Linked DNA regions of Cricetulus griseus. The main gene of each other region encodes a partner of the protein of the gene in region 2 in a complex. Links are inferred from orthologs where the notes say so. Each region holds a gene or a part of one and is shown on either strand. Other genes may lie near its edges. The genes, in order: Col1a1 and Fn1.

Region 1 (3,803 bases), on a different chromosome or scaffold from region 2:
CAACACAGGGTGAACCTGGTGCTCCTGGCAACAAAGGAGACACTGGTGCCAAAGGAGAGCCCGTAAGTCCCATGTCACCCCTCCTTCTCCTCAGCCCCTTGGGCCTGGGAGCCTCTCCAGGGAAACCCAAGGAGGAAGGGAGCCCCCACCCCTGCTAGAGGTCAGCCTTGTAGGCTCCTGGGTCTTGTGCCCCTCACGTAGGCCACTCTCTCTCTGCCCACTCCAGGGCCCTGCTGGTGTTCAAGGTCCCCCTGGCCCTGCTGGGGAAGAAGGAAAACGAGGAGCCCGTGGTGAACCTGGACCGACTGGCCTGCCCGGACCTCCTGGCGAGCGTGTAAGTCCCCTGCTCTTCTCCCTCTTCTCTCTGCCCTCAGTGCTTGCCCAGTGTCTAGGGTGGTGATTAAGCTCACTGGCCTCTTCTTTTCTCCCTGCAGGGTGGACCTGGTAGCCGTGGTTTCCCTGGTGCTGATGGTGTTGCTGGCCCCAAGGTAACCTTTCTTCCTGGCAGTGAAACTGACCCCCCAAGCTGACAGGACTGTTCACACCTCCCTACACTCATGCTCCCAACAATGCTCCCAGCTACCCATGCCCATATTTGTGTATCCCTCCTCCTAATATTTGGCCTCACTTTGGCATCCCCACCGATGCCCCTCAAAGTCCTGAACCTTCTCCTAGCATGAAGAAGATGCTAGCCATGGTGATGAGGCCAAGGCTGTGACCCTGATGTGTCTGTGACTTCTATCCACTTAGGGTCCTGCTGGTGAACGTGGTTCTCCCGGGCCTGCTGGTCCTAAAGGTTCTCCTGGTGAAGCTGGTCGTCCTGGTGAAGCTGGTCTCCCTGGTGCCAAGGTGAGAGCCAAGACCCTCTGTCCTGTGTGAGACTGGGACAGCCTGTAATTGGTGCTCCAGACTCCACACACACACACCGTCCCCCTCCCCCTTCCTTTGTTCATGCTTCTGCCTCTCCACAGGGTCTCACTGGCAGTCCTGGCAGCCCTGGTCCTGATGGCAAAACCGGCCCCCCTGTAAGTATGCTTCCTCTCTCACTCTTCACCCCTACCCCACTGTATACATAACTTTGTCCTTACGGCAACTCTTCTGCCTCTCGTCCTCAGGGTCCCGCTGGTCAAGATGGTCGCCCTGGACCCCCAGGTCCTCCTGGAGCCCGTGGCCAGGCTGGTGTGATGGGATTCCCTGGACCTAAGGGTACTGCTGTAAGTACCCAATGAGGAACAAAGCAGAACCAGGGACAGCTGTACTAACTCCACTGACTTGCTCCATGACCTCAGGCCCCTTAATAACCCTATATGGACCCATTGGTAAAATAAGAGACTCTTGGCTCCATGATCATTGCTTTGTCCCCAACAAATAAGTATTGGGCTTTCTATCCAAGAGTCACCCCTAAGTTTGGTAGGGAAGGGAGAACGCTGAGGAAATAAAAAGCCATTGCAGGTGTGAGTCAGGGAAAAGGAGGGGGAGAGGGTGACTAGGAAGGAGCCTTGGGCAACATCTGCTTTGGGTGCAGGCAGAGAGGCCAAGCATTAGATGCCAGCAAGGCCTCCCCTAGAGGCTGCAGCCTTCTTGAACAGAAAGCCCCCTAGGAACACTCACTGTAATGAGGGGGTCCTTGACTGCAACGGTCTCCTGCCGTGACCCTCAACCCTGCCTCCCTTTCTACATAGGGAGAACCCGGAAAGGCTGGAGAGCGGGGCGTTCCTGGACCCCCTGGCCCTGTTGTAAGTATCTCTTTTGAGTCTCTGTCACCCTTCTGTCCCTGCTGTGACACATACCATCCTCAGAGTGCAGCCACTGTGAGAACATTGGAAGCCACTGGTGGGCTCTGCTTTGTCCCAGAGGTTCAGGCCTTACCTGCTGCTGTTATCTGCCTCACCACACTGAGTTTATCACCTTCTCCCTACAGGGTCCTGCTGGCAAAGATGGAGAAGCTGGAGCTCAGGGAGCCCCCGGCCCTGCTGTAAGTGTCTCTGTCTGGGAGGCCTGGGGAGCAGGGAAGGGGGCACTCTGCCTCCCTTCTCCTTGGACTATTCATGACCACAGCCTCTTCTCTGTGACAGGGTCCTGCTGGTGAGAGAGGTGAACAAGGCCCCGCTGGCTCCCCTGGATTCCAGGTAAGGTCTGGTGACAGGTTTCTAGAGAGTTCAGGATGTTCCTTTGTTAACTCTTACAGATTTTAAGCCCTTCCCCTCCATCTCCCACCTTACAGGGTCTCCCCGGCCCTGCTGGTCCTCCTGGTGAAGCAGGCAAGCCCGGTGAACAGGTAAGACATAGCAGCTGGGCAGAGGGCAGGAGCATGCAGGAAATAAAAAAGTAACAAACCACTCACTGTCCCTAGCTGGTCAGGAAGGCAGCAGCTAGAAAGAGAGGTTAGACACAGGGGAGGACTGTGGTTACACTAAAAAGAACATGGGAGCTACATATGATCTGGAAATGGTTGTGTGGGTTCTAGGCAAGGTGACTTCTTTATACAGAATAACTCTGGCTTTACCTCAAGCCTTCCTACTGTTAAAAAGAGATTCCAATTCTCAGCCGAAAATGTGTCCATCTCTAAATGTGGGCCCCAAGGACCAGCTCACAGCAAGAGGGGCAGAGGCTCAAGGGGAGTTTGGTCTCACTGTTGTTTCTCCTTCCCACCCTCAGGGTGTTCCTGGAGACCTTGGTGCCCCTGGACCCTCTGGAGCAAGAGTAAGTGGGCCCTCTCATGCCATTTCCATCACTATGTCCTGGGCTTGGCCCTGTTGGAGCAGCCATCATGTGCCCTCTCCTTCCTTTGTAGGGCGAGAGAGGTTTCCCTGGTGAGCGTGGTGTACAAGGTCCCCCAGGTCCTGCTGGTCCCCGTGGAAACAATGGTGCTCCTGGCAATGATGGTGCCAAGGTGAGGGCATCATGGAAAGGGTATGATGGCTATGAGACTCAAACCATAGAGGTGTGGAGGGTTGGGGGACAAGACCAGAGTGGGGGCCTATGGAACCTGAGGTCAGATCTGTGAGTTTGTTCTTTTAGCTGGAACCTTGACCTTGGACCCACACATAGGGGCTCTGAGACATTTCCTGGGACTCCATGTCTCACTCATCTTTTTGTTTACCAAACAGGGTGATACTGGTGCCCCCGGAGCTCCCGGTAGCCAGGGCGCTCCCGGTCTTCAGGGAATGCCTGGTGAACGTGGTGCAGCTGGTCTTCCAGGTCCTAAGGGTGACAGAGTAAGTCAACCTTCCCCTCCTATGAGCTCTTGGTGGTTCTCACCCATCTCCTTGCTTTGCTGGGTAATTTTATGCCTGTGATTCAGGCCCTTCTCCTGATGTTACCATGGTAATGAGAGCTGGGGCTTTCCCCTAATGGAGGCGCCCTTATTTATTGTCCTGTTGACCTCAGGGGCCTCTTAACCCAGGTTCCACGTAAATCCTCAAGTAGGCACCTTTACCCCTGAAAGGATCTTGTATCCTTGGCACCGTGTCTGAGAAACATCTGCAGAATGCTGTACCTGAAGAAGGACCCTGAGAAATATTTGCAGAACTCTGTAGCTCAACTCCTGGCCCCACACTGGAAGTCTGACTTTACCCTGTCTTTAGGGTGATGCTGGACCCAAAGGTGCCGATGGCTCTCCTGGCAAAGATGGCGTCCGTGGTCTGACTGGTCCCATTGGTCCTCCTGGCCCTGCTGGTGCCCCTGGTGACAAGGTGAGTGGCTGCTTTGTCACTGATTTCCTAACACATAACTGCCTCAGCAAGCCCAGGTGGGGCTCTGCAGGGAAGGCATGTCCTGCCATATAAAGCTGGTGACCCAGG
Region 2 (4,346 bases):
CAATCTGACTTGAAGATGCCCGGGAATGTAAAATAAGTAGATCTTCTGTGGATACCTTATTGAAAAGAACCAAGAGATCTACCTGGTTCCACGGTATACACGCATGCTCATGCTCTCTCTCGTGTGCACATGTGCACTGGCACGCGCGCACATACACACACACACACACACACACACACACACACACACCCCTCTATTAGACCCTTCTTCCTCAGCTTAGGTACAAGAAGTAGGTGGGTGACCACGTGGGTAGGGTCACAGGGGTAAATCCCAAAGTAAGAAATATTCTGTCACAGGCAATAGAAAACGGCAGGGACAGGATGGAGAAATACATGTTTATGGGCCCTCCACCACATTACAGAGCGCCTTTCTTACTTGCAATGGTACAGCTGATCCTCCCTCGCCCAGCCCCGATGCAGGTACAGTCCCAGATCATGGAATCTTTAGGGCGCTCGTAAGTGTCACCCACTTTGTAAGTGTTCCCAGTGTATTTGTCAAAGCAAGTCTCTTCAGCTGTGGAGAAGAAGAAGCCCACGTGAGCCTCACACACATAAAAGCTTGTCTATCCCTCCCATCCATCTGAGGGAGATGCCCCTCTTCTGGGTCACAAGTAGCAACACTACAAGTAACTGAGATGAGACTTCAAAAAATTTCAAGTTATGATTTAATGAAACCATAGTTCTTGGCCTTTGGCAAGCTCTGCAATTTGTTCTCTCTTTACAATGTAAAGAATTCTCAGGAAGAAGCCACACCCTATGACCAGCTGAGTTGCAAAGAAAAGGTTTCAAATTCCAGCCTCAAACTGGGGAAATCAATTCAAGGGCCACGTGGGAGGCACACAGTTTGAAGGTTGCCTTCCTCTCAGCAGGCACTGGCCTTTGTCAGCCTGACTGACATGTTTCCCCTGTAGCCTGAGCAGTTTCTCTGGAGGGACCGCTGTGATTCACAAGAAACATATCAAGGGCCTTCAAAGTCTCAGAAGTGGTGGTGGTTTCTCATTGAACTGCAGCTAACAAATCACTTTACAACACAGGAGCTTCAAAGCATTTCTTGGCCCATAATGTGAGAGCCAAAGATCTGAGATAACTTTCTAATAAATTAAACTTTTATAAGCAAACTTTTGTAAGTTTTCTTTTTGAAGAAAGACAGGCAAAACCTTTCATTTTCTAATCAAATTCTTTGAGAATAAAATGAAGGTTTTGGAAGCTAGTTTGGAATACATTTGTTTTAGGGGTAAGAGGAGCATGTGAAAAGCCAATACCAGAGGTTTGACAAAGAGGGAATTAGCGGCAGTTCTACAGGGGTGGAGTGGGGGGGGCAAATTATTTTTATTGAAAGTTAACTTTAATAAGTCAGCATCATTTTTGCCAGCGACCAGACTGCATTCCACTTACGTTCAGGTTTACTCTCACAGTTAAAACCTCGGCTTCCTCCATAGCAGGTACAAACCAAGGCATTGCCTAGATAGGTGCGTTCCCACTGTTGGTTTATCTGATAGTGTTTTCCATTGTCAAAACAACCAGCTGTGAAGAATTGAAGGGAAAGGTAATTACAATTTCATCCCTCCTCTTTTATTCCCCGAACAAAATTTTGTCAACAGAATTGGCAAGACTGAACGAACACAAAAATCTCATAAAAACAATATTCCACTAAAATAAGGAAGTGGAAACTAGCTGTCCAAAGACTTAAGCATTATTTATGTAGGTGGGTATTTACATATTTTTTCTTATCTTTTAACTTGGCTAAAAGTTATATAATGATGTCATGTCCATCTGACCAGGAGAACTACATCAGCAATGTGGAAACATTATGATACACAAATAATAGAAATCACCTTTAAAATCACTTCAATAGTCTTAGAAAAAAAAAAAAAAAAGACAAGAAAACGCTAAGTTGGGTGTGCTGTTGACCATGCCTGTAACCCCAGCTCTGTGGAAACTGAGACAGGAGAATTGCTCCAAGTTTAACACGAGCCTAGGCTACACAGGAAGAGTAATGGGGCTAGCTTAGGCTACAGTGTGAGACTAACTCAAAAATAAAAAAATGAGGAGGGGGAACTTTTAAATTTTCCTCTAGCCCCAAGTAAAAGAAGGGTGTGTCTCTAAAAAACTCCAAGAGAAATTGCAATCCTTGCTGTTGGTGAGGTAGCCCAACGGCAGCACCGAGCCAACTCTTTCAAGTTGGTCAGAGACTATTTAGATATCCTTTCCTCATGCCCATTTGGAAAATATTTAACCAATTATTTAGTAATAAAGAAAATAAGGAGCAGAGGGGATCACGCTAATCTCAGACGTAAAATGTCTAAATTTGTGTCACTTTTCTCTTTCACCACAAGTTTTGGCTCCGGGCAGGGCAATCTGAAGGTGTAGAATTGGTTAGCGCACTGTGGGGGCGGGGGGGGGGGCGGACCATACGGTCCCCGCCGCAACTGCAGGATCTTCTCCAGAGCCCTCCACCCCCAACCAGCCTGTTCAAACCTAAGCCTTTTGTGTCCACAGCTGGTTTCTTTCAGTGAAGCGCGCACTCACACACGCTCGCCCAGCCACGCACGCGCGCAAAACTTTCGCTACAACTTCAGCGGGCGCTGAGGACTGACCCATCCCTGCAGCCGGCCGCTTGGTTTCAGCCAGACTGTCGGTACTCACGCTTGCTTTGACTGACAGCCACCGGGGACTGAGGCTGCACGATTTGCTGAGGCTGCACGATTTGCTGAGTCTGCCTCTTGCTCTTCCCGGCTTCGGTACAGCGCACCGCTGTCCCCAGGCACAGGACGGCCAGCAGCAGCCCGGGTCCCGGACCCCTGAGCATCTTGAGTGGATGGGAGGAGAGTCGCCCTCCCCAGGCGGCAAGTGGCCCCGAAGTGTGGGTCCCTTCGCAGTCTGCGGGGGAAAGTCCTGAGGTGCGGACGCCTGTAAGAAGATGGGGAACAGAGGCTGGAAAGAAGGCGGGAGAGGACCAGAAGTTGTGGCCGCAGGTCCCGCTCAAGCCCGGGGCTCCCTCTCCTCCCCTAGTGCAGCGCAGCGGGTGCGGGCGGCTATGCCCCAAGAGCCGGGGCTTATATGGGACAGTCCCCTCCCGCCCCCCACGAGGCCCTGCGGGCTGGGGAGGAGGGACCGGCCCCACTCCCCCCACCCCTCCTGCCGCCGCAGCCGCCGCCGACCGCGCACCGATTGGCCCGGAGTGCGAGTGACGTCACGGGGGACGGTGGGTTCGCCCCGAACAAAAGAGATGCTGATCTCCCGCCAGGTCTGGGGCTAGAAAACTTTTTTTTTCCCCTTTTGGTTTCCTTTGCGGTCGTCAAACTTTTTGGAGGAGGATTGGGGGTAGGGATGGGAAACGACTGTAAAGTGAGATAGACCCGGAGGGAAGGGAGGGAGGAGCTGGAGCTACATGAAGCCTGGGATGACAAGGCTTGCCCCCCTCTTTTTCCTCTTTTTTTTTTTTTTCCTTTTTTTAAATTGGTGGCTGTGGTGGTGTTTGAGAACATTGCGTCACCTCTGAGAAAAGTCTGTCCTCACCGGAGTGTATTTTGTGGGGAGCGAGAAAGTCATAAAGTGGCCACCACCTTGTGGCTGTAGGAATCCAGACTTCACTTTTGCAGCCCCGGGGTGGGGCGGCTGCTTCTGGGTGCTTTTCCTGGGTCTCCTGTGCGCCGCCTAGGGTCCCCCTTTGCTTTACACTGTTGGGCTCAGACCCCAGCTCCTCCAAGCAATACCTACATGATTTCGAACAAGAGCCGGCTGGGAGAGAGTGAACGCGTGGCAAAGGTGACCCTTGCCCTGGGGGCTCTCCGTGGAGCTCGGCAGACGGCAGGCAAACTCACACGACCAAGTTTCTCTGCAAAGATGAAGCAACAGTTTCTTTTCTGAGTCCTGAAGCAAAGTTTTCCTCTCCTGGGAATGGAGTGCCCGTTTCCTTTAGAAGGAGAGTGAACAGTTTGAGAAGAGGAGTAGTTGAACTGGCTGATGAAGGAGGGAAAAACCTTCCGGTCCATGCCATGTTCACTAGGCCATTTGCATCCAGAGAAGAGGTGGCCTCTGTAAAAGAGCGGGCATGGGCAGAAAAGCCTTTAGGTCTTGACTTCCTCCAGCTTTCCCCCAATCCCTTCGCGTGGTCACTTTCTTTTTTGTAGACTTCACTGTCATGGAAGAATTCCTCTATCCACCCCTCCTCCTCCGCCGCCAGATTTTTCTTTTTTTATATTTCAATTGTTATTTGCTCCAAGAATGTATAAAGTTCCACTGAAAATTCTCCGGACATTCTACACTCCTGAGGTTGTAAAGGGGACCGGAGATACCCCCCCCCCCCGCAGTCAGCAGTTCTAAACACTGGTTCTCTCTCTCTCT

What was found.
Region 1: the proteins of Fn1 (region 2) and Col1a1 are in contact, whole or in part, in a crystal structure (PDB 3GXE), measured with the Homo sapiens proteins. The link is inferred for Cricetulus griseus from reciprocal best matches to the Homo sapiens genes FN1 and COL1A1. Residues at the interface, in NP_997647.2 of Homo sapiens: Asp516, Gln517, Lys533, His535, Glu537, His539, Leu541, Gly549, Arg550, Gly551, Arg552, Trp553, Lys554, Cys555, Pro557, Gln560, Phe569; in NP_000079.2 of Homo sapiens: Leu261, Pro262, Gly263, Met264, Lys265, Gly266, His267, Arg268.

Annotation. Positions count from the first base shown.
Region 1 is NC_048600.1:108,125,940-108,129,742, forward strand, and holds part of Col1a1 (collagen alpha-1(I) chain), read left to right. Parts: intron 1-8; coding exon 9-62; intron 63-226; coding exon 227-334; intron 335-434; coding exon 435-488; intron 489-750; coding exon 751-849; intron 850-971; coding exon 972-1,025; intron 1,026-1,115; coding exon 1,116-1,214; intron 1,215-1,682; coding exon 1,683-1,736; intron 1,737-1,921; coding exon 1,922-1,975; intron 1,976-2,075; coding exon 2,076-2,129; intron 2,130-2,224; coding exon 2,225-2,278; intron 2,279-2,658; coding exon 2,659-2,703; intron 2,704-2,794; coding exon 2,795-2,893; intron 2,894-3,110; coding exon 3,111-3,218; intron 3,219-3,587; coding exon 3,588-3,695; intron 3,696-3,803. UniProt on the Homo sapiens protein: Type I collagen is a member of group I collagen (fibrillar forming collagen).
Region 2 is NC_048595.1:425,036,467-425,040,812, forward strand, and holds the start of Fn1 (fibronectin), read right to left. Parts: upstream 2,975-4,346; 5' UTR 2,809-2,974; coding exon 2,646-2,808; intron 1,524-2,645; coding exon 1,395-1,523; intron 514-1,394; coding exon 376-513; intron 1-375. UniProt on the Homo sapiens protein: Fibronectins bind cell surfaces and various compounds including collagen, fibrin, heparin, DNA, and actin. Fibronectins are involved in cell adhesion, cell motility, opsonization, wound healing, and maintenance of cell shape.